Linked DNA regions of Alligator mississippiensis. The protein of the gene in region 1 interacts with the protein of each later gene in a pairwise test. Links are inferred from orthologs where the notes say so. Each region holds a gene or a part of one and is shown in the gene's direction. Other genes may lie near its edges. The genes, in order: RNF5, ABHD16A and SLC38A7.

Evidence for each region.
Region 2: the proteins of RNF5 (region 1) and ABHD16A interact in binary tests that used the Homo sapiens proteins (3 or more experiments, as listed by UniProt). The link is inferred for Alligator mississippiensis from reciprocal best matches to the Homo sapiens genes RNF5 and ABHD16A.
Region 3: the proteins of RNF5 (region 1) and SLC38A7 interact in binary tests that used the Homo sapiens proteins (3 or more experiments, as listed by UniProt). The two-hybrid records come from large-scale screens. The link is inferred for Alligator mississippiensis from reciprocal best matches to the Homo sapiens genes RNF5 and SLC38A7.

The regions. Positions count from the first base shown.
Region 1 is NC_081834.1:62,660,272-62,670,615, reverse strand, and holds RNF5 (E3 ubiquitin-protein ligase RNF5), read left to right. Parts: upstream 1-5,251; 5' UTR 5,252-5,801; coding exon 5,802-5,938; intron 5,939-6,300; coding exon 6,301-6,319; intron 6,320-6,429; coding exon 6,430-6,542; intron 6,543-6,624; coding exon 6,625-6,679; intron 6,680-6,746; coding exon 6,747-6,858; intron 6,859-7,351; coding exon 7,352-7,443; 3' UTR 7,444-7,826; downstream 7,827-10,344. Other genes in the region: AGPAT1 (1-acyl-sn-glycerol-3-phosphate acyltransferase alpha), read right to left, coding at 1-94. UniProt on the Homo sapiens protein: Membrane-bound E3 ubiquitin-protein ligase that mediates ubiquitination of target proteins. May function together with E2 ubiquitin-conjugating enzymes UBE2D1/UBCH5A and UBE2D2/UBC4.
Region 2 is NC_081834.1:57,908,829-57,919,172, reverse strand, and holds the start of ABHD16A (phosphatidylserine lipase ABHD16A), read left to right. Parts: upstream 1-3,937; 5' UTR 3,938-3,985; coding exon 3,986-4,117; intron 4,118-4,805; exon of another isoform or gene 4,806-4,820; coding exon of another isoform or gene 4,821-4,862; intron 4,863-5,731; coding exon 5,732-5,788; intron 5,789-6,701; coding exon 6,702-6,768; coding exon of another isoform or gene 6,769-6,790; intron 6,791-7,273; coding exon 7,274-7,360; intron 7,361-7,901; coding exon 7,902-7,987; intron 7,988-8,599; coding exon 8,600-8,673; intron 8,674-9,063; coding exon 9,064-9,168; intron 9,169-10,152; coding exon 10,153-10,267; intron 10,268-10,344. Other genes in the region: uncharacterized protein LOC109284092, read right to left, coding at 972-1,024, 1,124-1,161, 1,351-1,504, 1,719-2,000, 3,623-3,740. UniProt on the Homo sapiens protein: Phosphatidylserine (PS) lipase that mediates the hydrolysis of phosphatidylserine to generate lysophosphatidylserine (LPS). LPS constitutes a class of signaling lipids that regulates immunological and neurological processes.
Region 3 is NC_081833.1:39,214,876-39,225,219, reverse strand, and holds the start of SLC38A7 (sodium-coupled neutral amino acid transporter 7), read left to right. Parts: upstream 1-4,340; 5' UTR 4,341-4,429; intron 4,430-6,316; exon of another isoform or gene 6,317-7,233; intron 7,234-8,705; 5' UTR 8,706-8,925; coding exon 8,926-9,192; intron 9,193-9,377; coding exon 9,378-9,576; intron 9,577-9,984; coding exon 9,985-10,129; intron 10,130-10,344. UniProt on the Homo sapiens protein: Symporter that selectively cotransports sodium ions and amino acids, such as L-glutamine and L-asparagine from the lysosome into the cytoplasm and may participates in mTORC1 activation. The transport activity requires an acidic lysosomal lumen.

The DNA.
Region 1 (10,344 bases):
TGACCACGAAGCGGAAGGAGCCGCTCAGCTCATAGAGCAGTGGCACCAGCGCCAGCACCAGCACCAGCGCCCACACGCCTGCCGACACCTCCATGCTCCTGCCGCCGCCTGCCTGCAGGGGACAGGGAGGAGGTATTAGGGTTCATGTGTTGCACAAGGCAAGAAAAGGGGCTGCATTAACCACCCCCCCCCCACCACCACCACATAGGCACAGATCCCAGGTATCTGGGACACACATGCACAGAACCCAGGCGTCCATGATGTGTGCACACACACACCAAACCCAAGTTTTCGGGACACACGGACAGACACACAGAACCCAGGTGTTCAGGACACATGGGGGTGCACGTGCACACACGCGCGCACATACACAGAATCCAGGCACCCAACACACACACAACCCAGGTGTTGGGAACACACACACGGATCCCAGGCATCCAAAACATACAGAAGAACCCAGGTGGTCCAGAATACATGGACGCATACGCGCGCACACACGCACACACACACACACACACACACAGAATGGCAGGGGGGAAGGGGGGATCTGAAACACACACATGCACGCAGAATCCAGTTGTCTGTGGGATGGGGACACAGGCACAAAACCCAGGCATCCAGATCACACATATGCACACACAACTCAGGTGTCCAGGTCACACACACGCACAAACCTATGTAGTAGAGAACCCTACTCAGGCACTCTGTGCATGTGTAACAATTACAACACTGCCATCCGTGTCTGCTGTAACATTTTGTGTGCGAGTATGTTTGTGTGTGCGTGCACGCGTATACGTGTGACAAGCAGATCGACACTATCACTGTTTACTCACTTCATGTGTTGGACAAGTACCTCTATACTGCTGGTGTCTGCTCACACCCTGCATGTGTGTGTGTGTCACATACACACATGCCAACCAAACCTATGCTATCCGCATGTGCTCACACTGTGTGTGTGTGCATGCACGCATGTGTGAGTATAACAAGCAGAACTTGGCAATATTTCTTTGCTGCGGGTGTAACAGGTAGATCAATGCTATTAGTGTTTGCACTGCCCAAACCTTGTGTGCATGTGAGTGTGCAACACACCCAGTGTACCGAGCTCTTTGCTCAAACATGCTGTGTGCATTGTGTGCGTGTGTGTACGTGTCTGATAAACAGAACTACACCATCAGTGTTTGCTCATAGCATGTGTGACACAAACCTGCACTAGCAATGTCTGCTCAAAAACTGCGTGTGCAGGCATGTAACAAGATCTATGCTCAATACTTGCTCAAACACTTGTGTGCATATGTCCAAAATAAATACTAAGCTACACTACTTGCTCCATGTGTGTGTGTGTGTGTGTGTGTGTGCGCGCGCGTGCACGCACGTTCAATAAGAAGACCTATGCTATCAATGCTTGGTCAAAATTGTGCATGTGTGCAACATACCCACACAGTGTAGAGCTACGCTTTGCTCAAACATGCTGCGTGAGTGTGAAACAAGCATTTCTCTGCTACTTGTCAAACACCGTGTGCATTTGCGTATAACAAGCAGTTCTATGCTCATTGCTTGCTCAAATGCATGTTTGTGTGCAACACACACTATTTACTCAGTGTGTGTGTGCATGCATATAAGCAGAACTATGCTATCAGTGCTTGCTCAAACACTCATGTATACACACACCTGCAGCATACTGTTACACTACCATTTGCACGCACACACACACACACACACACACACACACACACACACAGTGACCATGTGTCCACAACACACACACACACACACACTGGACCAAGCTACACTATTTGCTCAAACCCACTGCATGTGTGCATGTACACATGCACAAGTGAGTGCACGTAACTTTGTACGCTAGTGCAACTGTGGCAGAGCAAGTACATATCACTCACTGCATGCAAAACAATGTTCTCAGTACACGTGGTTATTCACACACGCACACATGCACAGCAAACCGAACCCTGCCCAAGCCCTGTGCATGTGTCAACATGCCCAGAGACACACACCTGCCACACTCCGACCCGGTGCCACACACACACCTCCCTGCCGCAGGGCTGGAAGTTCCCGACACACATGTAGGCGTGCACACGCCTGATCTTCCACCCCACCCTGCACCCGAGGGGGGCCTTGTCCCAGACTCAACCCCAGCCTGGGCCTGACAACTGCAGGGGGATAGGGGCCATGGCAGCACACATGGTAGGCAGGTGAACACATGCACATGGTGTGGATTTACACACACAGCTATGGCATGGGCCGTGGCACGCACAATAGCAAGCCACAGGGAGCATGGGAAACCTGTATGCATGCACAAACACACACAAGAACACAAATACACGCACATGCCACATACACAAATGAATACACTCGTGCACACACAAATACGCACGTGAATACACACACACACACACACACGTGTGAATGGATGGACACATGCACAGAATCCAGGCATCCAACACACACACAGAACCCAGGCACCCAGGACACACACGAGTACACATATATGCATGCACATGCCAGCATATACACATGCACACACAAATACACAAACAAGTACACATTCACATCTGCATGTGAATAGACACACACACACAGAACCCAGGCACCTGGGATACACATGTAGAGGCCTGTGCCCCACACAACCATCACACACACTCACACAAGACTTGTACTTCCCAGCACAGTGCTCCACATCCCTCACATGCCATTACCATCACACACATACACAGACACAAACACACACAACGAGGTGAGCATTGTACCCCCAACAACACCCAAGCATCACACACAGAGTACCCTAGGCCCCACATAACTATCTCACACGCACACAAATTTTACCAAGCACAGTTCCCCACAACTCCCCACTACCATCACACACCCCCCGAGAACTGTACCCCACAACACCTTACAAGTATCTGTCTGTCTCACATATACATGCACACACATGCACGCGTGCACACACACACACACACAGTGGCCTGTACTGCACACAATGGCTCGCAACAACACACACACACACACACACACACACACACACACACAAACTGTACCCCCAGCACTGCACCCCACACACCCCTACCATCACACACAAAAGTGAGAAGTGAACCCTGTGCAACACCCCACAAGCATCTCTCTCTCTCACACACAAATTATTGCTCCCCAGCACAGTACTCCACACTACCCATAACACTCTGCTACCGTCACACACACAGGTGAAAATTGTACCCCTCCACAACACCCTACATCACACACACACACACACACACACACTGCCCTGTGCCCCACACAGCTGCTCACAACCACACACACACAAGAACTGTTTCTCCCCAGCGCACACAGAACCCAGGTGTGGGGATACATACACACAGGTGAAAATGATACCTGCATAACACCCTGCAGGCTTCACACACGCACCAACTGTATCCCCAGCACAGTAACACACATTTCTCCCAACACCCTCCTACCATCACACACACATGCAAACCTGAATCTCATGCATACGTGCATGCACACAGAAGTTGTGCCCCCCCAGGCACACATACCCAGTGCCCCTCACAAGTGCCTGCAACTATCACAGTTGCACACATGCACAACCCCACATCCCTCACAACCCATTACACACAGACACACACATGAAGGAGTAGCCATCACAAACATGTGCAAGTCAGACCCCTCTGGATGCACACACACACATGAACACAACACCCCATGACCCTCAAAGGCACTCATGGTTACCACAGAACAATTGTAACCCCCCCGTGCATGCGCGCGCGTGCACACACACAAACACACACACACACAACCCAGGCATCTGGGACATGGACATACACCTGTCAGGCACCCTGGACACAAATGTACACACACAACCATGGCACCCTGAACACACACACACACAGAACCCAGATTCCAGAACAGGTGCACGCACGCGCACACACACACACACAACATACAGGCATCTGGAACACACACACACACACACAACCCATGTGTCCAAAGCACACGTGTGCACTCATACACGCACAGAACCGAGGCACCTGGGATACGTGCTCACACATGCACACACCACAGGGGTCCAGGTCGCCCAGACCCCACTGGACCCCACGTCCACCCGAACCCCTGAGCCCTGGAGCTGGGGGGGGAGGGGGGGAGCAGGACCAAACCATCGCTGCAGGGGAGTAAAGGGCTGCCCCTGCCAAGGCTGAAGCAGGGTACCACCAGCCCCCCCCCCGCTCGGGGCAGCCCCTCCCCCACCCCGAACACCCCCCTTAGCCCCCATCCCCCAGGGTCCCCCCCCTCAGGCCCCCCCAACCGCAGCCCCCCATCCATCCACCCCCGCACCTGGCCCCGGGTGGTGCGGGTGGGGGCGCTCAGGGCGGCGGGCCGGGCCGGGCCATGGCGGCAGAGGATGCTCGGGGAGGGGGGGAGGGGGCGGAAAGGGGCGGGGCCTCACACCGGAAGCCGGGGGGGAAGGTTGGGGGGAGGCGGCCAATGGGGCCCGCGCGCGCGCCTGCCCCCGGACCCCGTGACGTCAGCTCCCTCCCGCGTGCGAGCCCCGCCGCCCTGCCACGCCCCTCTACGGACCCCCACCCCAATGGGCCCCGCCCCTTCCCCACGCCCCGCCCCCTCCTGTTGCCCCGGGGGCGGGGCCTGGGGCTGCCTCGGTTGCCATAGAGACGTGGCGGGGGGGCACTCGAGGGACACCCAGGAGTGGGGGGGTGCCCAGGAGAGGGGCAGTTGCCATGGTTACCGTGGCCCCCCAGTGACCGTTGCTATACCAACGTGGCAGGGCGGCCAGTCGGGCCCCAGGGCAAAGGGGGACTGCTGCCATGGCAACGTCGTCACGATGGCGACGAGGCCAGGCCGTGGGGGAGGGTTGCCAAGGTGATGGAGGGTTTGGGGGCAATAGCAAGCAAGGGCAGTCGCCATGGTGACACAGCAGGGGTGCAGTTGCCATGGTGACGGGGCAGGCCCGACCAAGGCCAAGTGATGGTTGCAGGAGTGACAGGACTGGTTGCCAGGGGCGGGGGGTGGCGGTTGCCGTGGTGACGGGGCTGGCAGGGACAGACTGTGGTTGCTCCAGTGACAGGGCAGTTGCCATGGTTCCAGGGCGGCCATTTTGCCTCGGTCTCTCCGGCCGCTGACCGCACCTCGGGCTTCACAGCGGACACGTGTGCCCCGCCCCCACCGGCCTTCTTAGCCAATCAGTGGCCTTTCCCTCGCCGCCCGCTCCTCCAATCCCTTCCGCAGTCCGGAACCGTTATGGGCGAGGATTGGCCTAAACGCTTGTTAATTACAATTACTCCCCCTCAGCCAATCAGTCAGCATGACAGAAAGAATCCAGGCCAATAGAATCCTACATGTCCCTGGGGGTCCCGCCTCACTTATGGCTACTAATAATTGGATTATGGAGCTGTTCATTCAAAGTTTCTCCGCTCCTGCCCGCACCTTACCCCGAAGCGACCAATCACGCGTCGTTTACTCGTGATTGACGGGAGCCGGCACCCATAGGAAGCGGGTGAATATCCTACACGCTGAGAAGCTGGGACCCAAGCCGCAGTGACCAATGAGCGTGAGGCAACGTGTGATGGACAGCAAATCTACCCAGTCAGCCACTGGCAGAGGCGTGTCCTCATCTGGTGGTAATGCCAACTACCCTCCCGCCAATCATATTCGCCAGTTTCCTTGAGAGGCAGCGTCACCGGCCACTGAGCGGGGGGCGCGGCTGATTGGCGGCCCCGCTGGCCAATGGGACCCTTGAGAAGGAAGGCGGTGGCATTTCCCCTCCGGGGGTGGGGCGGAAGATGGCGGCCGGGACAGGCCCGGGGGTCCCCGATGGGGGCCCCGAGGTGCCAAACCGCGACCGCAGTGCGTTCGAGTGCAACATCTGCCTGGAGCCCGCCCGGGACGCCGTGATCGGGCTCTGCGGGCACCTGTACTGGTATGGGGCGGGGCCGGGTGGGGGCGTGGCCTGGGTGGGGGGCTCTCATGGGGTGGGGCAGGGGGAGGGGCCTAGCTGTGGGGGAGGGGAGGGGCCTAGGGAGGGGGCGGGGCGTAGCTATGGGTGGGGGAGGCTGGAGTGGGGGTGGGGCTGGCGCGAATGGGATGGGGGGAGGAAAGGGGTGGGATATGGTTGGGGGTGGGGCCGGGAGGACGGAGGCGGGGATCGGATATGACTGGGGAGTGGTCTAGTGGGTGGGGGAGGGGCTTAGGGTGGGGGAGGGGCTAGCATGGGTGAGTTGAAAGGGGGGGGCCTCAAGGCCCACCCCCATAACACTCCCCCCCCCTCCACACACCTTGCAGCTGGCCCTGTCTGCACCAGGTGAGTCCCTCCCTCCCCCTCGTCCCCCACCGCCCCCGGGGCATGATGTGGAGCAGGTGGGGGAGTCGTGGGGGGTCCCTCACCCCCTCTCCTACCCCCCACGCCGGCAGTGGCTGGAGACACGGCCAGAGCGGCAGGAGTGCCCCGTGTGCAAGGCAGGCATCAGCCGTGACAAGGTCATCCCCCTGTATGGCCGTGGTAGCGCCGGGCAGCAGGACCCCAGGTACGCAGGGTTGGAGGGCATTTACAGGGCAGGAGGCACCTGGCTTCTGCCGCCCTGATGCCCCATCTCTGCCCCTGCCCAGGTTGAAGACCCCTCCACGGCCGCGGGGCCAGCGCCCGGAGCCTGAGAGCCGTGGGGTGAGTGAAAACGGCCACCTGCCCTTCTTTTGCCCCCTCACCCCCAGCTAATACCCTGTGTCTGCAGGGGCCACCACCGCCTGTCTTCCCCGACACTGGCTTCCACATGGCCTTCGGCATCGGCGCCTTCCCCTTCGGCTTTTTCACCACCGTGATGCGGGGCCCTGACGCACCAGCTGGTAAGAGACCCCCTGGCACCCCAAACCCAGGGTCCTTGCACCCTGTTTTGGGCAACCCTTATGCTGGCAGACTCCCACGCCCTCCCCACCCCAGGCTGAGCTCCCCCCACATCAGGATGACTCCCATGGACCCCCCGGGGCTCCCCTACCCCATCCCACACATGCCCATGGGCCCCCTTCTGAGTACCCCCACATGCCCCAGGCTCCTCTCCACCCTCCACCCACCCTACACTGGCACTAGTCCCCCCCCGCCAGCCTTCCCCTCCTCAGTTTACAGCAGTGGGGGCAATTATTTTGGGTGGAGGGCTGCTTACTGAGTTTGGTAAGCCATCAAGGGCCACATGACAGGCAGCTAGGGGCAGATAAATATTAATTTTCTAAATTTTTTAGGGGCACCATGGGCCGGATAGAATGGCCTGGTGGGCTGTATCCAGCCCACAGGCCACATTTTGCTCACCCCTGATTTACAACATCTCTCTCCTCCCCCCCCCAGATGCAGCTGCTGGCCCCCGGCCCTCTGGCTGGCAGGATTCGCTCTTCCTCTTCATTGCCATCTTCTTCCTCTTCTGGCTTCTCAGTGTCTGACCCCCCCCCTCCCCTCCAACGCACCCCTGCCATGGACAGGCAGGGGTTAACCCCTGGAGGGTGGGGCTACAGTATTCTAGCAGGGTTTCCCCTTTGCCCCTCCCCCATGCGTGGGGGCATGATGTAGTGGCCAAGGGGCAGGACTTGGGGGGTTCCCTAAGGGCTAATAGGGGGGAGGGGCCAGTTCAGGGTTGGCCTCTGCTCTCCCCAGTGATCCCCTGCTGGCCGGGCCAGGCCCTGGTGCTCCCTGCACATGGGGTGGGGGGAGAGAGGGCAGTTCTGGGGCATCTGTGAGTGTTTATGGGACAGGGCAAATCAGGGTGACCCCACACCCCCCCATGGCAGGGGGACCAGGGGTGTCATTAAAGCACTGGTGATTCGTACCCTGGGGTATCTGGACTCTCATTAGGGGAATGAGGCGAGAGCAGATAAGACCCCGGGCTGCGGGCTAGGAGTGAGAGACACTGAAAAGGGCAAGGGTAGGATCTACCATAAGTTGTTCCCCTAGGTCTGGGAGTTTACTCTGGACCCCACTACCTGTGCCCCCCTGGGGGGAGTCACTGAGATGGTGAGGGGTTCCCTTGTTTTGGGGAGATGAGGTGGCTGGTTGTGGGGTCCCCCCACCCCAGGGAGCCAATCCAAAGCCATGGAACAGCCTCCCGCACCTGGAAGAAATATATTTTATTACATAAGCCAAGAAAATACAACCAATGGGGGGTAGGGAGCCTCCCGTGACCCCCCGCAAACAACTTAGAGGGTCTGTGCCCCCAAAAACTAGGTGCTATTGGCTGCGGAACCCACAAGACCTCAGCACAGCCAGCGAGGCCTACACCCTCCACTGAAGCCTGCTGTGGAGTGAGGCACTCTGGGCATGGGTGTGCAGGCTGGGGGGGGGGCTAAGGACCCTTTGGTGTCATGCTTGAGGAACCCCCCACGCAACAGCTCATGTTTCCTCTCCCCCCACCCCCCAAAACCCATCCACGAGCCACCCAACGATGAGCTCCAAAATGGCCACCCTCATAGAAGCCTCCTGAGCCAGTCTTGAAAGGGAGTGGGGGTGTTTTGTTTTTAAGTATCAATAAGAAATATAGTGGGGGGGGCAGTGCAGAGTGCACCCGTCTCTCCCTCCCGCAGGGGCATTCTGGGCCAGCGCACAAAGGTGGTGGAGCACATGGCAGGGGCGCTAGAGCCACTGTGCCCAGCCCAGTTTGGGGGGCAGGGGCTAAGCCCCACCCTTCTGCCCCCTATGGGCTGGGGGTGCTAGGGGCAGTTCCCAGACCTGCCCCCCCACACTTAATTGGATTTTCCTAATTAAGAAAACATGAATAATAAAGAAACAAAAGCCTGCCCCACACCACCCCCACCTCCAGTTCCAGGACCCCTGACCCCTCACCCCAACAGGAAGTGGGCACCCTAGGGTGGGACTCTAGGAGGCGGTGTTGGGGGCAGGGGGGCACTCGGGCAGAGGCAGAAGACTGAAGGCTCCGGGTGCCGGAGTCTAGCATCTTTGCTGGCTGTCTTGGCACCTGGTGGCTGCCGTCTTGGATGGACCCTGCAAAGAGATGCCACCTTTGCTCTCAGTGGCCTCCCTGTTGGATTGAACCCCCATGAAGACACCATCTTGGTTCCCGATGGCCAAGATGTTGGCGCTGCCATCCCAACCAGGCAGCCCTTCCCCCTCTGCCCCCTCCCTACCCCAGATGGAGGGGGAGGGGAGGGGTTAAGCCCAACTCACCCTCATCAGGCCGAGGGGATGGCACAGACAAACTCCATCTATGGGGGAAAAAAGGCTGAGATTTGAGGGTGCCCCACCTTAGAGTGAGTTCCTCCCCCCATCCTACAGGGAGGCCTGAACCAGACAGAGGGCAGGCACTGGGGGCAGAGCCTGAGCTCAGGCCCCACCCCTACCCCTCAATCAGCCACCATGGGCCTGCCCCCACATCCTGTGGCCATACCTTTCCAATCAGGCCCCAGCCCCATGACTTCATGCCCTCTGGCCCCACCCCTCAGCCAGGGCTAGACACCCAAGCCCCATGGCCCTGCCCCCTCGATCCAGGCCATGCCTCTCAACCTCCGCTACACCCCAAGGTCCCTGGCCCTGCCCTTCACTTTGGGCCACACCCCCAAGCCTTGTGGCCCCACCCACCTGCCTAGGCCATGTCCCAAAGCTCCTGTACTCCCTTCACCAGGGCCCAGTCACTCTACCCAGACCCCAGCCCCTCTCCTATAGGCTCCACCTCTCTACCCAGGCCTTGTTCCCTGGCTGTAGGTCTCACCCACACCTGCGAAACATGATGCCACAGTGGGCAGGCAGCTGGTCCTTGGCCCTGCACTGGGGCGGGGCTGTGACCTGCTGGGTGAAGCTGTGCTGCATCTGGCTGCCAGGACACACAGGGTCAGGGGTCAAAGGTTTGGGGTTATGGCACCAAGCATCAAGGAAACAGGAGTGGGGTTAGAGTATGGGGGTCAAGGGAGATCGCAGAGGTCAAGGACCCCAATAGCCTTATGTGCTTTGGGGTGGGGGTCAGAGGTCAAGGGCAGTCACTGGTGTGAAGGAAGCAGGAGCAAAGGCTGATTACGGCTTCACCGGTGCTTTGGGGAGGAGTCAAAAGTCAGGGAAGGGGGTCCAGAGATAGAAGGTCAGACTGAGGAGTCAGAGGGTCATACCCGTCACCAAGGAAGCATGGTGATGTCCCCACACAGGGGACAGGAATTAGGGACAGGGTGGGGTCCAAGGTCAAGTAAGGCCTGGAGTCAAGGAAGCAGAAGCAGAGGATCCCAACAGCCTCACAGGTGCTTTGGGCTGGGGGTCCAGAGTGAGGTCAAGGGTTGGAGGTCAAGGTGAAGACAGACTAGGGGGGGTTACACAGATATAGCACAGGGCATCCAACCCCACCCTGG
Region 2 (10,344 bases), about 4.8 Mb from region 1:
CCTGCAGCCCCTGCTCCCCCCAGCCCTGCCAGTGTCCCTCATTCCCAACCCACAGCACCATGCGCCCCCCCCCCCCCCCAGTGCCCCTCACTCCAGACCCGCAGCCCCTGCCCCCGCCCTGCCGGTGCACCCCACTCTCGACCCTCAGCCCCCTACGCCTTGGTGTCCCTCATTCCCAACCCGCAGCCCTGGGGTGATGCAGCAGGCCTGTGCTGTGTTCATGGGCGACTGGTGCTGCCTTAGTCAGCTTCTGGGAATGGCTAAGGCTGCTTCTGGGAGCGAAACGGCACTCCACTCCCCAGCCGGCGCTCGTGGGGAGGCACATCACCACTGGCTGTGTTGATTATACTGTGGTTTGAGGCCTGGATATGAGGGGAGGGGCAAGGGGGAGCTGTCCCAGATGCCTGGGTTCCCTGCTCATGTGTGTCCCAGATGCCTGGGTTGCGCGCCTGTTGGCCTGACACAAAGCTGCAGCCACCAGTTCCCAGTTGCTGCTTTTATTCGCAGCGCCTGCCCCAGACCCTGCCCAGGGCGCACCCAGACACCAGGGTCCCTTGCCCCAGCCCTTCCCAGTGGGACTGTGCCTGGTTGGATGGGTCCTCTAGGGGGCAGCTGAGAGGGACTGGGGTGGAGGGGCTGAGGATGAGGAGTGGGGGGGCGGGGGGCTTCAGGAAGGGGTGGGGCTTAGTAGGGGAGGGTTCTGGGGTGGGATTTCTGAGGGGTAGGGCTTGGGGTGGGGCAGGCCTTCAAATGAAGGAAAAGTCTGAGCAAGGGGCAGAGATGGGAGGGGCTGCAACTGGGGGTGGGGCTTAGGCAGGGGCAGGGCTGGGAAGGGATGGAGCTAAGGGTAGGGCCTTCACAGGGGTGAGCTTAGGGGATGGAGCTGGGCATGGGGGTGTGGCTTCTGATGGGGCAGGGCTAGTGCTGGGGGTGTGGCCAGGTGGGTGGAACCCCGCCCCCGGGAGGGGCCATCAGGCCCCCATGTTCTCGTAGAGGCTGGCTTCACCCTTAGATTCCAGGGGGCCTGCAAGACAGTGGGGGGGCTTGTTAGCTCAATGTGGTGGATGGAGGGCCCCCAGTTCACCCACTAAGGGAGGGGAACTGGGACCAGAGCAGCACTCACCTGGCGGGGCCTGAAACAAGAGGGCTGGAGGTGCCGCCCTGCAGGGGAAGAGGCAATGAGCAGGGGTGCAGAACCCAGGCATCCGGGCTGCCAGCCCCCCTGCTCCAACCACAGGCCCCACCAGCCTCCCGCAGAACCCAGGAGTCCAGACACCCGCTCCCCTCCCAGGCATCGGGGCTCCAAGGCCCCTGTTCTCACCGAGGGAACCCAGGCTGCCAGCCCCTCACCTGCGGCCCTGGTGTCTCTGCCTCCACAGTGCTGCCCCCATGGCGAGGAGGAGGAGGGTTTCCACAGCAACACAGGCAGCCAGTGGAGCCCACAGGGTGTCACAGACCCCAGGATCCCGGCTCTGGGGTTCGGGGCACTGGGAAGACCCCGGTACTGGAGAAGACGGGAGAGCAGGATAGAGGAACCCAGGTGTCCAGACTCCCGGGCCCACTGCCCTCCTGGAGGACCTGGGCATCCGGGCTCCCACCTTCCACTTCTCTCACCCCCAAGGGAACCAGGCTCTCAGCACCCACCCACCCCCTGCCTCCCCTCCCCTCCCGGGGAACCCAGGCACCCTGCCCCACCTGGGGCTGCAACGCTCACCCACCTGCCACCACGCGCAGCTCGTAGCCGGTTACTGTCGTTCCCCCCAGCGTGCACCAGTACGTTCCAGCATCCCCAACCTGGACCTCTCGCAGCAGCAGAGACTGGCTGGGGAGCAGGGAGAGCCGGTCCTGGTCCCCTCCAAGCCCCGGAGCTGGGAGTCGCTGAGCCACGGTTAGGTCTAGGCTATTGTTGCGATACAGCCACAACAGCTGTTCCCCGGCCCCCAGGTGGCGCTGCACAGGGCAGGGCAGCTCCACCGAAGCCCCCACAGCCACGGAGACCTCTGGTGGGAGCAAAGGGAGAGACACAGCTGATTCGGGGGTGGAATGTGGTTATGCACTGGGAATGCGCCTGGTTCTGGGGTGGAACATCTGAGTATATACAGAGATGCAGCTGATTCTGGGGTGAAGCAGTTATATACAGGCATGTGGCTGGTTTTGGGGTGAAAGGGGATAAACGTGGCTGATTCTGGGGTGAAACAGCTGAGTGTACACAGAGATGTGGCTGATTCTGGGGGCAACTTTGGTTATACACAGCAAAATTGACTGATTCTGGGGTAGAACGTGGTCATACACAGAGACACATCTGACTCGGGTGGAACATGGTTGCAAACAGACATGCAGCTGATTCTGAGGTGGAACATAGATCATGTGAGTGATTCTAGGGTGAGATGCAGCTGATTCTGGGGTACAATGGGGGAGAAACACAGACACAGCTGATTCTGGGGTGGAACGTGGTTATACAGGGAGGTGCAGCTGATTCTGGGGTGGAACAGACAGAAGGGTTTTACCTCCCTCCATGGTGGGTCTCAGCAGCAGGAGAAGGAGGCAGAAGGGCTCTACGGCTGCCCCCATTGCCGGCATCTCCTCGGGGATGCAGGGTGTGACCCAGGGGAGGGCGCCAGGAGCTGGTCAGGCTGGAGCCATGTCTGGAGTGACGCAGCAGAAGGATGAGGGACCTTATCAGGATCCCACAGGGATGGATGTGTGGAGGAAGTGACACAAAGCAGCTGTTCCCCCAGAGCCAGCCACAGCTCTTGTCCTCGTTACACCCATTCCTGCTCCACCCCAGAGCCAGCTGCACCTCTTGTCCTTGTTATACCCAGCCCTGCTCCACCCCAGAGCCAGCCACAGCCTTTACCCCCATTACATCCACCCCTACTCCCCCTCAGAGCCAGTTGCAGCTCCTCGCCCGTTATACCCAGCCCAAGCCACCCCACACTCCCCCAAGCCAGCCGCAACTCAGGCAGGGAGGAGCTCTTTTCACATAGAGGCATCCCAGCAGACGCTCCCCTATGAGTTCCCCTTCACTTAGCATTGCCCAAACAATTGGCATGCTGCCTCTCCACCCCAGGGGCGGCTGAGTAACAGCCGCCCCAGGCTTGAGGCACCTAGCTGATGCCGTTCCAAAATGGCGACACCAATATGACTGCCATGTCCCACACATGCCATTTTGGCCTAACTCCAACATAGTGGCACCAACATGGCTGCCACGCCCCACAGACGCCATCTTGACCTACCTCCAGCATGGCGGCTCGGAAATGGTGCCCATTCATGACCTAACGCCAGCATGGCCACTGTATCGCCAACCCCAAGTGGCCCAGTTGGTGTGCACCCCTAGTGCCAGGCCAGCATGGCTGCCCTGTGCCCACTAGTGTCTCCCAGTTGCCTCCCACTGGTGTCCCAGGTGGCCTGACCTTTGTACAGTGACCCCTCAGATCCCCCCTTGATGTGACTCCAAGATGCCCGGTGTGTCACCAACACTGAGTGGCCCAGTTGGTGTGAGTCCCCTAGGGCTGACATGGCCGCCCTGTGCCCACCAGTGTCTCCCAGTTGCCCTCCAGTGGTATCCCAGTTGGCCTGACCACCCCACCCTTGTTCAGCGACCCCACAGATCCCACCCCACCTTGGCGTGACTCTCCAGATGGCTGCTGTATTGCCAACCCTGAGCAGCTTAGAACCAGGCCAACATGGCTGTCCTGTGCACACCAGTTTCTCCCAGTTGCCTCTAATTGGTGTCCCATGTGGTGTAACCACCCCCCAGTTGGCCAAGATGGCGACTCTTTCACTCCAATGGAAGAAGGGCAGAAATGGGTGCCTGGCTCTTTAACAAGGGAGGTGGGAGGGGGAGAGAGAAGCCCGCAGCCAGGACGCCGGGAAAACGCGTTTTCATAACCCCTGAGGGAAGTTTGGCTACCTCCGGTACCCCGTAGAGAACCCGGAAGTGGCGCTTTTGCTCGGTCTCCGACCCGGCTTGGTCCGGCCCAAGATGGCGAAGCTGCTGAGCTGCGTGCTGGGGCCGCGGCTCTACCGGGTCTACAGGGAACGGGGGCCCGCACGGCTCCCCCAGGATGGGGACGAGGCTGCCGAGGGGTCCCCAGCCTCCCGTGAGTCTTCCTGGGTGAGTGCCGTTTTTAACCCTCCCCCCCGCGGGGGAGAAGTGGTATCTCCCGACTGCCTCTCTCTACGGGAGTTCGGACGAGACCATTGCCTGGAGAGGGGTGCCGTTCAGGGGCACGCCCCCTTTTTCCTTAGTGGAACCTTCCCAGTCGCTGGGTCTGGATGTCCGTTAGGCCGGTACCATGATGGGGGGGAGGGGCGGAATGTGTCTTTGCGTGGCCGTGATGGGACCTTCCCAGTCGTCGCGTCTAGATGCCCGTTAAGGCGATACCATGTTGGACAAGAAAGGGAGACTCTGTTACCCCTTACTTCCTTCTTCTATGAGCCCCCCAAGTGACCCCTCCCCTCTTGAAAGAGACCATTTTAGAAAGTGGGGTTATGGAGTTGAGGGGACAATTATGCCCCTCTTCCTCTCCACTTCTCCTTATCCAGGTCCCCTAGGATAGTGCTATCTGGGGACAAACCCTTGTGAGGAAAGAGGGGGCAGGAACTTGAGGGGCAGAGAGCATGATTGCTCTTCTGGATGGTATTTCCCCCTCCCCCAGTGGATCAGGCTATGGGGGTGGGGGAGGGGATATATTTCCCCCTAACAGTATCTCCCCACCCTGTTCTGTGCAGCCCTGCAGTCCTTGTATCAAGTTGCTGCTACTACCCTGAGACGAACCATTGTAGAAAAGAGGGGTGCTCCCACTCCTGTTTCCTGCATGGTACGCCTCACCCTCAGGAAGCTGTTGATACTCCTCTGGGTGAGACCATTGTAGAAGCAGTGGGTAGAGGGGGACACGTTTCCCTTCCAGGACCTCATATGGTATCTCCCGTCCTCCCCTCTGGCCTGTATTACTTCCCTAGTGCTATGACGCCAGCCTGGCAAGGCCGGGTTGGCGTAACCCCCAAGATGGCGGCCGGGGCCCCTCTATTAGTGGGGACGTCATGTTGGCACGACTTCCTAGATGGCAGTCAGGGCCTCGACCCAGGGGGAGGTGCCGTGGTGGTGTGATTCTCAAGTTTGCTACCAGTCTGCCACAGTAGGGGGTGGGTTAGCATGACTGGTGTTGCCAAGATGGCAGACATTGCCTCCCCCCGCCCCCACCCTCCCCAATGGGGCTCAGCTGGCATGACCAGAACAGCCAAGCCAAGGTGGGCGTCCTGGCCAAGATGGCGGTGGTGGCGTTTCCTAGTTTGCCCACATTGCCCTGGCCACCGTGGTGCCCGCCTGGTTGGGCTGGATTGGCCTGGCTTCCGCTGTAACCTGTCGTGATCCTGCCTTGGCAGGGGGCAATACAGGTGCTGTGCACGCGAGACCATGGCCAATGCGCCCCATGTGACATCACCGCAATGGCCACCATGACCCTGATGGTGAGGTGACCTTTGATGTGACCCCATGGCATCGCCACAATGGCCACCATGTCCCTGACCATGAGGTGACCATTAGCGTGACTCCATTTTGGCCACCCCAGAACGGCTGCTGCATCCCATAATGCCCTGCACTGCCCCCTCGCTGTTAGCCAAGGGCTTTACTGTGCCCCTCTGGCTGATTTCCCAGCATGCCCCACTCCCCACCTGTGGCACTGACCCCCTCCCAAGTCTTGGGGTGATGGAGACTTTCTCCGTGCAGGATTCGTACTACCAGCCGCGGAGCCTGGAGAAGCACTCGGACAGCATCCTGGCCCTGGTGAGCTCCTCTGCTTCTGGGGGAGGCTGGGAACCCAGGCATGTGGGCTCCCCATCCCCCCCCTCCCCAGCCTTCCAGGGAACCCAGGTGTCCAGGCTCCTCCCCTTCTTGGGCCCTGCCCAGGGGAGCAGTCCTGGCAGCACAAACATGTTTATCTCTGCTCCAGTCCCTGAGGCCCCCGGTTCTGTCCCCTAGAGCGGAAAGACACCCCTGGCGTCCGTGCTCCCAGCATGCTCCCCTGTCCTGCCTGAATCCACCACGCCTTTTTTCCTTCCCAGAGAACCCAGGCATCCGGGCTCCCCGCCCTGCCCCTCTCCTGTTCCAGATGACCAAGGCGTCCAGGCTTCCAGCCTCGATTGCTCTGGCTCACCAGACCCAATCCTGTTCAGAGCGTGGAGGGAACCCAGACATCCGGGCTCTCAGCTCCTCCTGCCCTCACCCCCCAGGAGAGGATCCCAGGTGTCTGGGCTCCCAGCGCCCACTGCTGTAACCCAGCAGACTCTGTTTCCTTCCTCGAACTGGGCAGAGAACTCGGGTGTCCTGGCCGTGCACTGAGCTAGCTTGGCTTCACTCCCTTCCCTGCAGAGGGACCCCAGGTGTCCAGGCTCTCAGCCCCTGGCCCCCATTCCACTCCCAGAAAAGCCAGGTGTCTGGGCCCTTGCCCCAACCCCCTGCCTCCTTCCTTGAGAACCCAGGCATCCGGGCCGCTGCCCCCCCCCCACCCGTGCTGGCCCCCCAGCCCCTCTTCACCTCCTAGAAAACCCAAGCTTCCATCCCCCCCCTGCTTTCACCCCCCAGCTCCCACTCGCCTCCCAGAGCACCCAGGTGTCCGGACTCCCAGCCCTCACCCCTTCCCTGGATTGCAGAGAACCCAGGTGTCCGGCACTGACTCTGATGTCTGGTCCCATTGCAGGCCTCGGTGCTCTGGTCTATCTCCTACTACACCTCCCCGCTGGCCTTCTTCTACCTGTACCGGAAAGGTAGGAGGCACTGCGGGGGCAGGTAGGGGGCTTGTGGAGGGCAGGGGGCATATATGGGGTATGGGGAGGGGCTGGTGGGGGTGTACTAGGGGAGCAGGTAGGGGCTATTGTGGGGGCAGGTGGGGGGGGAAGATACAGCTTGAGGGGGCATTTAGGGGACACAGGAGGGATCTAGGGGAGGCAAGGTCCATGTAGAGGGCATCAGTTGGGGGTAGGAGGCTTGGGGGGCAAGTGGGGAGGTCAGGAAGAGCAGGCTCCTGGGACCTGGGGACAGGTAGAGGGGTGGGGAGCAGATAAATGAGGGGGTGGGGTGACTAAGGGGCACCAACATGTTGGGGGGTAGGTTGAAGGGGCAGGTAGGGGGAGCCAGGGGGGTTGGTTGGGGTTGTTTAAGGGGCCAGGGCATATCAGGGAAGTTGTTTCATCCCAGAGCTGGGCACGTCGGGGGCCTGGCCATGACGCCCTCTCCTCTGCCCCTTCCCCCCGCCCCCACCCTCCCCCCCAGGCTACCTGACCATGTCCAAAGTGGTGCCCTTCTCCCACTACGCTGCCACCATGCTCTTCCTCCTGGCCGGTGTCGCCTGCCTCAGAGGTGAGTGGGGGCTTGTGGGTAAGAAAGGGCTACACCCCCGCCCCCTGGACACCTGGGTTCTCTCCCAGCTCCGGAGGCAAGGGAGGCAGGCTGGGAGACAGGGGTCCCTTCTACCCAGCTCAGGGAGAAGAGTGGGGCTTGGAGCCCGGACACCCAGGTTCTTTGGGAAGATGTTGGGGGGTGAGGGGTTAGGACTGGGAGCCCGGATCCCTGGGTTCTCTAGGAGGGGGTGGGGATTGCGGGGTGGAAGCAGGGAGAGCTAGGGACGCGGATGCTTGGGTTTTCCGAGAGGGGGATGAATGCCGGTGGGCTAGGGCTGGAAGCCCGGATGCCTGGATTCTCTAGGAGTGGGCTGGGGTGTGGGGGTGGCAGCCCAGACTCCTGGGTTCTTCGGGAGGGGGATGTATGCTAGGGGCTAGGGCTGCAAGCCCAGACGCTGGAGTTCTCTAGGAGCGGGGTAGGGTCTGTGGGGTGGAAGCCCAGACTTTGGGGTTCTCCCACAACCCTTCAGCCTATCTAACTGCACCCCCTCCCCGCCCAGGGATTGGGCGCTGGACGAACCCCCAGTACATCCAGTTTATCACCATCCTGGAGGACAGCCACCGCATCGGCACCCCTGAGATCAAGGTGAGGCTCTGTGACCGGGCTTCTGGCTCCACCTCTAGGCTGCATGCCATCCACCCTGCTGCTTCCCACAGTGCCTTGCATGCCCCGCCCTCTCCTGCCAAGCCATTCACAGCTTGCACCACCCCCTCCTGGTCTTGCATGACCTTCTGCTGTTTCCCGTTATGCCTTTCAGCTTCCCCTTCCCCACCATCCCTGGCAGCCAGGCCTTGCCGCAAGGCATGATGGGAGCTGCCGCTTCTCCCCTCATGCCTTGCACCCTAACCTCCTCACCGTACCACAACAGCCAAGCCTGCCTCAGTTTCCCATCATGCCTTGCAGCTGCCCACCACTCCCCCCCCCCCCCTTGTTTCCCAGGATGGTTTGCAGCCCAACCATTTTTGTGCTTTGGACTCTTTCCCAGCATGCCTTGCAGCTACCAGCTTTCCCTGCTTTTAAAGGGGCAGAAACCAGACCCAGGTCTGGGGGGGTTGGGGGTTGGCTAGGGGAGTGGAGCCAAAGCAGGGATCCCCACCCACTCCCAAGGAGGGGCTGGTGGGGGGGTAGTTTTGGGGGGGGCATGAGGTCTCAGCCCCTCATGCCCAACCCCAACCATTCTCCTTCCTGTGTGCACAGAAGAAACTCGCCAGCTACAACTTTGACTTCCGGAGCTGGCCCGTGGACTTCCGCTGGGATGAGGTCTCCAGCCGGTGGGTGAGCGGGGAGGGAACCCAGGCGTCCGGGCTCCCAGCCCTCCTGCTTTTACCCACCAATGCCCTCCCCTTCCAGGGAACCCAGGCATCTGGGCTCCCAGCATCCCCTGCTTTCACCTCCCTCCCTCCCTCCCTCCCAGAGAACCCATGTGTCCAGGCACTCCCTTCCCAGAGCAAGGGGAGAACCCAGGAGTCCTGGCTTGATGCTCGGACCCACCAGCCCTGACTTTGTTCCCAGAAGTGAGAGAGAACCCAGGTGTCCAGGCTCCCAGCCCTGCCTGCTCTTGCCCCCCAGCCCCCACTTCCCTCGTAAAGAACCCAAGCGTCCAGTCCCTCAGCCCCCGTCTTCTTCCTGAGCTGAGAACACAGGCATCTGGCTCTCCCCAGGTCAGACTCGCGGGGGATCTCCTTGCTGCAGCCGCCCCCCAAGCACCGCAGCACGGCCAACGGATTCCTCAATGCTGTAAAGAAGCTGCCCTGCCAGATTGCCAGGTATAACCCTCCCCCCAGGGGAGGGGTTTGAGCTCCCTGCCTCCCTATTGGCTGCAACAGGCCAAGGGGTGGGGTCTGCAGGCTTCCCTTTGGAGGGGTGAGGGGTGGGAAAGCATCCTGGGAGGCTGCAGGGAGTGTGGGTGGGGATCCCTAGCTGCTGATTGCTTTGCTATGTTGGTCCTGAGACCTGTCCCCTGATTGGCCAAGGGCGTGGGTGCAGGATGCTGCATTGGGAATCATGGTAGGGTTTCCTGGCTGCTGATCAGCTGGGGTGAGTTGGGGGGGCATGTCCTTGGAATCTTTGTTCCAAGATGTTTGACCTCTGATTGGTCAGAGTGGTGTTTCCAGCAGCTAATTGGAGGGAGGCATTGGGAATTGCAGGAGGGATCCCTAGCTCCTGATTGGCTGCAGGGCTTGGTGGGGTGTGGCTTAGGAATCTAGGTCCAGAGACCTGTCCCCTGGTTGGTTGAGGGCTTGGGCCCAAGATACTGATTGGTAGGCATTGAGAAGTTCTGGAGGGATCTCTGGCTGGGGTTTGGCTGGGGAAGGGGCTGCAGCTCAGAGTCCTGATTGGCTGGAGGCAGAGCTGAAAAGGATGCTGATTGGTGGTAGGAATCGGAAGGTTGGCGCCTGCAGATAGGCCAGCTTGGGGGTTGGCCTGGCTGGGGGGATGGAAGAGGAAGTAACGCTAGAATTCTGGCACCTGATTGGCTGGGGAGGATCTAAATAGCTCATAGGCTGGCAAGTGGGGTTCACGGAGATTGACTGGGGTAATTATGACTGCTTATTGGCCAGGGGGTGAGATCACCTAACTAGTAACTTTTTAAATATGGCATGGGTGTGACAACAGGGGTCTGGGACCCTGGTGCTGGGGTGTGGCTGGCTCTGGGGCATGTCAGGCTGGGTGTAACAGGGACAGGAGCTGCAGCTGGCTCTGGGGAGCATCACGACACCCTTGTCTTTGCCCCCTGCCCCACCCCCCAGCTACATTGTGGCTCACACATTCGGGCGCCGGATGCTCTACCCTGGCTCAGTCTACCTGCTCCAGAAAGCCCTCATGCCCATGCTGCTCCAGGGCCAGGCCCGCCTCGTTGAGGAGGTGAGTCTGGGGGGCAGGGAGCTGGGGAAAGGAACCCAGGCGTGCGAGCTGCCGGTCCCCACCTTCCTCCCAGGGCT
Region 3 (10,344 bases), on another chromosome or scaffold:
CTAGTCTAAACCTACTCTCTAACAACTTGTGGCCATTATTCCTTGTTACTCCAGGAGGCACTCGGGGGGGGGGGGGGGGGGGGACAAGGTCTCCCAAACCCCACTAGTCCCCCCCCCCAGCAAGTTTTAATAGACGGCCACCAGGTTCCCCCTCAGCCTTCTCTTGCAAAGGCTGAACAGGTTAAGGTACCATAGCCTCTCCTCATAGGGTCTGCCCTGCTGTCCCCAAATCATGCAAGTGGCCCTCCTTTGGACCCTCTCAATGCTGGCCACATCCCTCCTGAAGTGCGGCACCCAGAACTGGACACAGTACTCCAGCTGCAGCCTGACCAGTGTCACATACAGGATGAGGATCACCTCCTTGGCCCTGCTTGTGATGCATCTGTGGATGCAGGACAAGGTACAGTTAGCCCTACTGACCGTGTTCTCGCAGTCGGCCCATGTTCATCTTGGAGTCAATAATGACTCCAAGATCTCTTTCTGCTTTTGAAAAGGGAGTTCCCCAACCTATAGGTATGCTGCTGGTTCCTACTCCCCAAGTGCAGCACCCTGCACTTCTCAGTATTGAATTCCATTCTATTTTCATTTGCCCACCCCTGTAACCTGTCCAGGTCCTGCTGTAATCTGTCCTTCCCCTCTAGTGTGCCCACTTCACCCCAAATCTTGGTGTTGTCTGCAAATTTAAACAGGCTCCTTCTTACCCTGTCGTCCAAGTCGCTAATGAAGAAACTGAACAGTGTGGGCCCAAGGACTGAGCCCTATGGGACCCCACTGCCCATTTCCCTCCAGGTTGAAAATGACCCGTCCACCACCACTCTCTGAGTACGACCCCTCAGCCAATTTGCAATCCATCTGACTGTGTAGGCATCAATGCCACAGTCACCTGTTTTTTTTTAATGAGAATGAGGTGGGAGTGTCAAAGACCTTCCTGAAATTCAGAAAGACTACATCCACCGCGACACCTACAGCCAGTGACTTTTTTTTTTTTGGGTGACCTGATCGTAGAAGGCAATTGGGTTGGTATGACAGGACCTGCCCCTAATGAAACTGTGCTGGTTGCGCTTGAGCATCATCCCCGCTGCTGGCCCATCACAGATGTGCTGCTTGATAATCTTCTCAAACAGCTTCCCCAGGACTGAAGCAAGACTAACGGGCCTATAGTTGCCCGGGTCCTCCCTTTTTTTCCCCATTTTTTGAAGATGGGGACCACATTGGCCCTCTTCCAATCATCTGGCACCTGGCCAGAACACCACAAGTGCTCATAAAGCCGTGCCAGGGGCCCCACAATAACCCCTGCCAATTCCCTCTCCACCCTGGGGTGGAGAGCATCTGGACCTGCTGACTTGAACGTGTCCAGCCCCTCCAGAAGCTCTCTAACTCAGTCCTCCCTGACCCTAGGTTTGGCGGAGTTTCTCTCGAGTACATCCTGAATATCGGTAGGGGAGTCCCGGTCCCTGCACAAGAAAATAGAAGCAAAGAAATTGTTAAAGAGGTCTGCTTTCTCCTCTGGTGTGACCACCAGATTGCCAAGCATATCCTGCAGGGGCCCCACGTTACCTGGGGCCTTTTTCATGCTCCCTATGTATTTAAAAAAGGACTTTTTCTTATCCTTGATGCTAGCCCTAGTTCCATATCTGCCTTAGTTTTCCTAATAGCCCCCTTACAGACCCGAGCGGTGGAGGTATACTCCTCTTTGGTAATAGCCCCTCCCTTCCACCTGGTGTACGCTTTTGGCAATCGGGCATCTACAAATGCCCTTGGTAAGCCAGGGGGGCTTTTGGGCACTCTTGCCCCCCTTGCTTCTTGTTGGGATTGTCACCCCTTGGGCTCTGAGTATCGTCTCCTTAAGGAACGACCACTCATCTTGGGCACCCAGTTCCTCTACTCTCCAGGATCCTAGTGCCTCCCCCACTAATCACCTCAGCTCATAGACTTTAGGAGGGCCAACTTCAAAGGCTACTGCCTTGCTGCAGGCCCTTGGCACCCCGCGCTGGATGGTGAATTCCAGCAAGCAATGATTGCTATCGCCCAGGTGGTTGAGGACCTGGAGCCCGCTTACCAAATCATTGCTTGTGGCCAGGACCAGGTCCAGCAGGGCATTCCCCCTGGTAGGACTGTGAACCTCTTGGGTTAACTGGAGGTCCTCTATCTCAGCCAGGAACCTCCGTGAGTGGTCAGACCTGGCTGACTGCTCCTCCCAGCAGATGTCTGGGTAATTTGATTACCCATGACAATTACATCCCTTGTCTTAAGTGCCTCCACAAGCTGAGCCAAGAATTCATGGTCCAGCTCTTCACTTTGCTTGGGAGGTCTGTAGTAGACCCCCACTGTTAAGTCCCTTTCCCCATGACACCCCTGTATGTGACTATCAGAGCACTTCAGCCTGCCCCTCCTATGACCCCATCCTGCTGGTTGAGGATGTGTATTGCTCTTTGACATAGAGCACCACACCCCCGCCTTTTCCTCCCTGTTCTATCCTGCCTGTATAGTCTATAGCCCTTAATGTTGACCGCCCAGTCGTGGGATGAATCCCACCAGGTTTCTGTGAGCCCTACTATGTCTGGGGATGTGTGCAAGGAGGGATCTGACTCCCGCCCCATAGACGAGCCACTCGCAGCTCCGTCCCAGACCCCACACTGCTGCAGCTGAGCAGCATCTGCCCCAGCCACACTCCCTTCCTCACCCTGGAGGCCTCGATCTGTGTCCCCTCATGCCTCTTCCCCCACACCAGACTTACCAACCAGATGCTGGTCTCCAACTGGCCAGGATGTGCTCCTGGGCCGGTGCATGGTGCAGCTGTGCACGTTCATGGGGCATTTATCTGCTACATTAGTGGCCACATCAGGCAAAAAAAAAACCCAAACATTTCCAATACTTTCAATTTTCCCTATAGCGGTGCTGATCCAATATGGGACCAATGTATTGGTGCACCTCTGCTAGGAACTTCAGGGCAAGCCACCATTGCAATGTTGGTGAAATCCAGTTCCTGCTATTCACAAGGGCACTTTTCAGGGATGGGCTGTTCGAGATACATGCAGAGAAAATATCACGGCCACTCCTGGAACACAGGCAAAACTATACAGAGGGTTTGTAGCCATGGCTGAATGAACTTGCAGGGTCAGGACTCTAGTAAAACAGGCTCAGAGATTGATAAAAACCAACAGGATGCCTGGAGAATAAGATGACAAAGCTGTTTCTCAAGGCCGCTGAAACTGAACAGCCCAGGGCCTGGTTTTCTAGGATTCTGCTTGTGTTGTTCAGATCAGTATTATACAAGCGTAGAACAGCATCAGCTGGGTGCAGTGTAATTTTACAGTCACAATTTGTGCTAGTATTAGAAGGAATCTGGCCCAGGGATGACAGAGCACCAAGGAGTAGCACCAAGGCATGAGAGCTGCTGAACACTTGAATCTGGTATTGAAATGAATGAGAAATACAGACGCTCAGGGCTCTATTTGCCAAACCCCAAGAGTCACTGTATGGAAGCCAAGGGATGCACAATTAAAATTGGTACATTTGCAGAACCCAGCATTTGGTTTAGAAAAATATTTCCCCTCCATTATCCTGCCTTTGGGCTCAAGCCAGGTTCCCTACCTACTCCTCACCTTCTCCGCCAACCTTTGTTCATGACCTGATCCGAACATGTGATGTTTGCACTGAGTTGCTTGGCTCCAAATACCAGCAGAATTCTGAAAAGGGGGACGCAAGTGGGGAGGGGCATCGCCACATATACCACAATGCATAGGTTCTTTCCAGGTACCATGAATGAGGGGCTTTACTGACATGCTGGGGGCCTCGGGATGGATTATCCAGTTTAACATGGAAGCCAAAACACAAAGAAGCTTGAATCAGCTCAAAACAATCTCCAGGGCTGGGAAACAAGAGCTTCCTGACCACGAGCAGCTAACAGAGCACAGCTGTCTGTAGGACAAAGAGTGCCTTGATTGGTGGAGCATCAAGACCAGTAAAAAGGAGAAGGGTGCTGAGGAATGAAGTTTGGAAGGGATCAGGCCAAGTCTATTGAGCCCCGAAGTCAACGGACTAGCTATGCTGCTGCCACTCCAGGGCAATTTAAGCTTTGGCTGGATCCGCTCCTGGTCTCTCGTGTCTCCCATCCGCAGGATCACACATCACAGGAAAGCAGGGCTGGAAGGTACCTAGCCCAGGCCCCGCTCACAGCAGGTGCATCCCTGACTAAACCAACCGGCCTGCCCAGCCTGCTCTCGAGCGTGCCCCAGGACGGGGCTGTGGGACGCGGCGCAGGCGCAGGCAGAGCTCTGGAGCCCACGGCTTCCCCCAGCGGGGGCGGGGCGGGGCGGGGCGGGGCGGGACTACGCTCCCCAGCCTGCAGCGCGCGGGGCCGAGCCGCCGGGACCACGTGAGGCTCCAGCTGCTCTCAAAAGAGCCGGAGCCGGCGCCGGTGTGGGAGGTAAGAGGCGGTTGTGGGGGCCTGCTCTGACCGTTGGCGGAGCTTTCCGCGCATCAGGGGCTCTCCCCGGGCCGCAGCTTCCCAGCTCCGCGGGGCGCCGGGAAGGACGCGCGCGGCTGGCGAAGGGGCAGGGCCGCTGGCAGGGGGTGTCCCGGGCAGCAGCAGGCCTGCCTGGGCGTGGGTGAAGGGCCCTGCGGTGCCCTCCGGCCGGGCTGTGTCCTGTCGCCCAGCCCAGCGAGACCACCCGAGGCGGAGTCCTGGGCTAGGGGCAGGCCTGTGACAGCGGCTGCTCTCCGGGATCCTCCGCTGAGACGAGGCCCACAGTGCCTCTGGCCTGGCTCCCAGCCTAAGCAGTGGTTCTGCCCTTCTTTGGACTAGGACCCATTTGTGAACATCAATGGCCAGTCCTGACCCAGTGGCCCTCACTCGTTTAAAGGAGAATCCATTTCTGACATTTGTTCCCAGCCCTTTCCTATATTCTTGCGACCCACCTTTGGGTCACAACCCATGGGTTGAGAAATGCTGCTCTAAGGGACCAATGCAACGTGCTTCAGAGGGAGGGCTGAGCCCATTTAGTGCACCAGGCAGGCTAAACCATGTTCTGCTTAAGGATTTCCCAGGCTTTGGGGCTCCTGTGCCCTCTTTCTGCTACATGTGTCAGGGTGATTTTAAGCTTTCCTCAGAGGCATTGGATGTTGGTGGCAGCCAAGCCTGGGGACTTGTGCCAGTGCTCCTGTGGGGACCAAAGCTGGAGGTTCCTGGCTAGAGGGGCTTGTCCTTCTGCTCGGGGTCTGACCAATTGCCAGATTTGGAGCTCAGAAGGAATTCTACCCTATGCTCAGATTGGTACAGACCATGGGGGCTTTTGCCTTCCTCTCATGAGGGTCATGGCCCTCTACTCAGCGTCTCTTGAGCATTTATTGATGACATTTCACAGAAGTAGGATGTTGGCTGCCACAGTTCTGCTTTACTTGTGGCAGGTTAGGGTGTTAGGTCTATGTCATATCAGGGTTGATGGTTGTCTGATGTAAAGTTTAGATTATGGTTTGTATGGGATGGTTTGGATAGGGATGATACTATTTTAGGCAGGGGGCTGGACTAGATGACCTCTGTAGGTCCCTTCCAGCCCAGCTTCTATAGGATTCTGTGAGTTTAGATTGTACTAGAAGTTGTATTTTGAGGGTTTATATCAAGCAAAACTAGTTTGGTTGAGATGGAGAACACGTTCCCTTACCTCCATGATCTGCCCGTCTGTTAGTGTGGCCTCTACAGTGCATCAGTCGGCTGAAATCAGAGTTCAGGTGTCCACCCAGGGCTTCTATACAGTTCAGCTTACCTGAGCATTCCTGTCTGTAACCAGTCACCTGGCTCAGAACAGGATGTCTCCTCTGAAGAATCGGGAGCCATTAGCAGGGTGGGTAGAGACACACCTGTTTATTTGATGACTGTGCTCTGTTTTCTTTAATCCTGTGTTGTAATGCTGATGTTGTACCGTTAAGTTCTCTTACTGGGTTGCACTTGCAGTTGGGCCCTGGATCTAGGCCTGTTAATGCTTTGGTTTGAATTGATGCACAATAGAGTAGACCTCAGTCTACACCCTCATTTCTTTGTTTTCCCTTTTCCAGATCAGAATTAAAACAAGCTTAATTAAATGTGTGCACCATAGAGCTGTCTCTGGCACCACTTGGTGTCATTACTGCCCTGAGGTGGAAGGAGTAGAGTATCAATGATACCTCACCTTAGAACAGTGGTTTTCAACCTTTTTTTCATGTGTGGACCCCTAAAAATTTTTCCGTGGAGGTGCAGACCCCTTTGGAAATTTTAAATGGAGGTGTGGACCCTAGTGAACTGTAAGTGTGGGTATTCATGTACTTTCTATTGATCATGATAATCTTTTGCAGATCTCTTGGATGTAATCTGTGGACTGGTCCTCTTTTTCTGCCAGGGGCAGGGTGTCAGACACAATGATCCTTTGTGGTCCCTTCCAACGATACAATCTATGACTCCCAGGGGTCTGCGGACCAGAGCTTGAAAACCACTGCCTTAGAGTTAACCTAGGAGTTGTGCATAGCAAGACAGATGATGATGACAACCTGAAGTCCCCTGTGAAGCTCTACCTCTTCCTGTAATGAGGAAACACAGTCTAGCTTCATAATTTGGGGAACCTGTCCACACTGTGAGTGTATGAGCTGTTTCTGAATAGCTGTCTGTAAATATCTGAACATTCACCCTTAGGATTAAAAATTGTGTGAGAGTTTGGATTTATGCCTTTTTGCTTAGCAATTATTTTTCCTGCTTTTTAACTTTAGGGAATTCCCTTCTTCCACATTTTTTTTGGAAATCACTTGGGAAGACCCACAGCACTGGAATGGATACTTGTGCTAGTCTGAGAGTCGGGTTGAGAAGTTAATTTTCTCACAGAGATATCTTTCCTTTCGGCTGCTTGTCAAGAATTTGATTTAAAGATATTAACAAAATCCATAAAGACTCATACAGCTCCCACACCACTACTTCTCATTTTTTTTAAATCAAGTTTTGCTTTCACAATGCTTTCAGTGGAAGAGTGTCTGTGAAAAACAGGGAAGAGAAGGCCTGTCTTCTAAGGGTAGAGGACCGAGGAAATTGTCTCTCCTCCTCTGTTTTCCCTTTCTATTTTGGGTGTCCCCTTTAAGCGTTGATTGTAGTTCATAGTAGCCTCTGGCAGTGGTTCTCAACAGGGGTGTGGCTTTGAATGTCTCCTATGGAGCAAGATCAGGAAACAGCTGTGACTGAGGAGCTGTGGGATTGGACCAGGAAGAGCTGTGGTAAGTGTGAACTCCAGCCACAGCCCTTTGCACTGCCTGGCTGGAAGGAGCAGCATGGGCTGTGGAGCTGCCATTTGCACTGCCCAGCTGGAGAAGCTGGGTGTGGTGACACCTGGGGCAGGCAAGACCATCCTCCCCCCACCAAAAAAAACCCTCCTTACCACAGGGGTCAGAGGAGTTTTTCCCAGAGCACAGAACTCTTTAGTAACCCTGCACCTGCCTGCTTTAGGTTTATCAGAATATCCTAATACTGGCAGGAGCATGCTGCAGCACTGATTGAGAAGCATGAAGATGAGCAGAGGCAGGACAACAGTGGTTCTCAACCAGGGTGCAACCAGACTCAAAGAATTCGTGTAGGGTGCCCTGACTCTAGAAAGGCTGAAAACACCTGGTTTGTTGGATGATTTTATTAGATGTCTATCTGAGCCACAGAGGTCAGGACTTTTTACAAAACCTGGCTGTGATTTTTAGGGTTGGAGAAGGGAGTCACTTGTTATAAGCTCGAACTATTTGAAGAGGCCTATGTGCTATTTTTATAGCAGTTCTTTAAATTATGATCTTTTATGCTTGTTCTTATCTCAGAGGTGTTTTGGTCAGGTTTGCTGAGATAGGTATGGAAATCTGTTGTTTGTTTCGCCAGATAAAAAAATGTCCCCTCTGTCTGACTGGTCATTCCAACTTCAAGTCTTTCCCTGAACTTCGCCCCACAGGAGCAGGCAAACTCTTGCAGCACTTGCAGAAATTTGGGCTGGAAATAAGGAAGTTGATTTCGAAATGCAGCTGTTGTTTGTGTCAGCATCAGGTCTGTGATAAGGCACTAACTGCACAGCCTTGGAGACTGAAAATATGTTAATCCACAGAATAATTGCAGTGCAAGCTGTCTCTTGTGTCCATGGTGCCTCAGTGCTGACTGACAGTCAGTCTTCTTCCTCTGTCAGTTCAATCTACTAGGACAACTCTTGTGGCTTGCACAATACGGACTTCTAGGACCTGAGCTGAGACCTACTAGACTTGTCTCACATAAGCCAGTTATAGCAGTGCTGGGTTTCTTGGCTCGGGCAACAGAGGCTCCTGCTTTAAGATCCAGTGATCCCAGGTTCGTTCCCTGCTGCTGGCTGCCCACCCATGGGTGTAGTGTAGAGGTTCCCAACCACCTGGCTGTGAAGGGTTGGCTGCTGGGTCATGGCATGAGCTTTAGGCGGCGGCAGCTCTGCCATCGGCTCAGCTCCCCAGGTGCATTCTGCCCCCAGCTGCATTCCCCTGCCTGGCCCAGCCCTGTGGCCCCTCACTACTGCTGGTCCACGGTATAAAAAAGGTTGGGAATCACTGGTGTAGTGTTCCATTTTAGTGAAGGGTGTAGTTGTGTAGAGGCTGATGGAGTACATGGGCAGTCTGGATTTTGGGGCCAGCTCTGACTGGCATGACTTCCACATGCACTAGGTAGTGATGCTCTTCCCTTTGTCCTCTTCTAGGTGCAGTGAAGTGGTCTGTGCCTGGTGCCCCCCAAGATGGTGCCCATAACAGGAGAATGAATCTGACTGCCTTGTAACTCCTGGGATGCTGGACCCTAATGGGAGTCAGCATTATAGAGTGGTGCTTGTTCTGACTGCAGACTTGGCACAGTGCTGAAGTGCTGAAGAGACACAGAGGGGTGTTAGTGTTGTGCTGGTTGGCCACTGCACAGCAAGGGAAATGGCTCAGTACAATGTGGGGATCAACAGTGAGTTCAGAGACTGGGAGTGGAGTGCGGATGCCGGGGAGCGGGCAAGGCTGCTGCAGAGCCCCAGTGTGGAGACTGTGCCCAAAAGCAGTGAGGGGCAGGAACATGGCACAGGGGCCACCTCCACCCTGGGAGCCATCTTCATTGTGGTGAATGCTGCCCTGGGTGCCGGGTTACTCAACTTTCCTGCAGCCTTCAGCACAGCAGGTGGAGTGGCAGCGGGGATCACGCTGCAGATGGTGAGAGGAGCTGCATGGGGGGATATGGGCACCTCTACAATAGATGAGACTGGATCATGTGGGAGACATGTTAGAATGTGGTCTTTCTTGCCAGCCCTGGGCCCTGTCATGGTGCCTCAGCCTGGGAGGGATGGGTGACAGGGGCTCTGGTATCCAGCACTCTGACTGTTCCCATCTTCTCCCAGTGCATGCTGGTTTTCATCATTGGAGGCCTGGTCATCCTGGCCTACTGCTCACAGGCCAGCAATGAGAGGACGTACCAGGAGGTGGTGTGGGCCGTGTGTGGCAAGGTCACTGGCGTGCTCTGTGAGGTTGCCATTGCTGTCTATACCTTTGGCACCTGCATTGCCTTTCTCATCATCATCGGGGATCAGCAGGATAAGAGTAAGTACCTGGGGCCTGCTGTGCCTGTCTCTGGGAATGGGGTCCTTGTGAGTGAGAATGAGAGGGCTTGTGTCCCCTGGTAGTAGCTGGGCCCTGCTGTCCCTGAGAGCTGGGCTGAGATGTCTCAGCATTGGTCTGTGTCTCCACTTGCCTGAGGATAGGATAGTGCTGCACAGAACTGATTTCTGTGGCCCATCTCAACTGTCATGAAAGCTCACAGTAGATGTATCTCTGCTGGGCCCCAGGAGCTTACATTTCCTGTCCAAGCTGCCTTTCTTCCAGCAAGCCCAGCCTGGACTGAAATCTCCTTTCCCTGCCCTCTAGCCACAAAGAAGATGGTCCATGCAACTTGGCATTGTGCTTAGCTGTTCCCTGACTGCTTGATTCTGTCCTTGTCTCCTCACCTAGTCGTTGCTGCGTTGATGACGGATCCAGAGGGGGCAGACAGTAGCCACTGGTACACAGATCGCAAGTTCACCATCAGCATCACTGCCTTCCTGCTGATTCTGCCCCTCTCCATCCCAAAGGAGATTGGCTTCCAAAAATATGCCAGGTGGGTGGGGAGAGCTGGACTAGGATTGATGTATGAGAGGACACAAAGGGAACAGGAACCAGGTGTACTTGACTTGGAGCCTATGACCAGCACGTTCAGCAGTGCTCTCAGAGGCAGTGATCTAATGAGTAGGGCACTGACTTGGAACTGGGGAGAGCAGGGCTCTATTCCCAGCTTTGCTAGTAACTTCTGTGACCTTGGGCTGATCCCTTCTC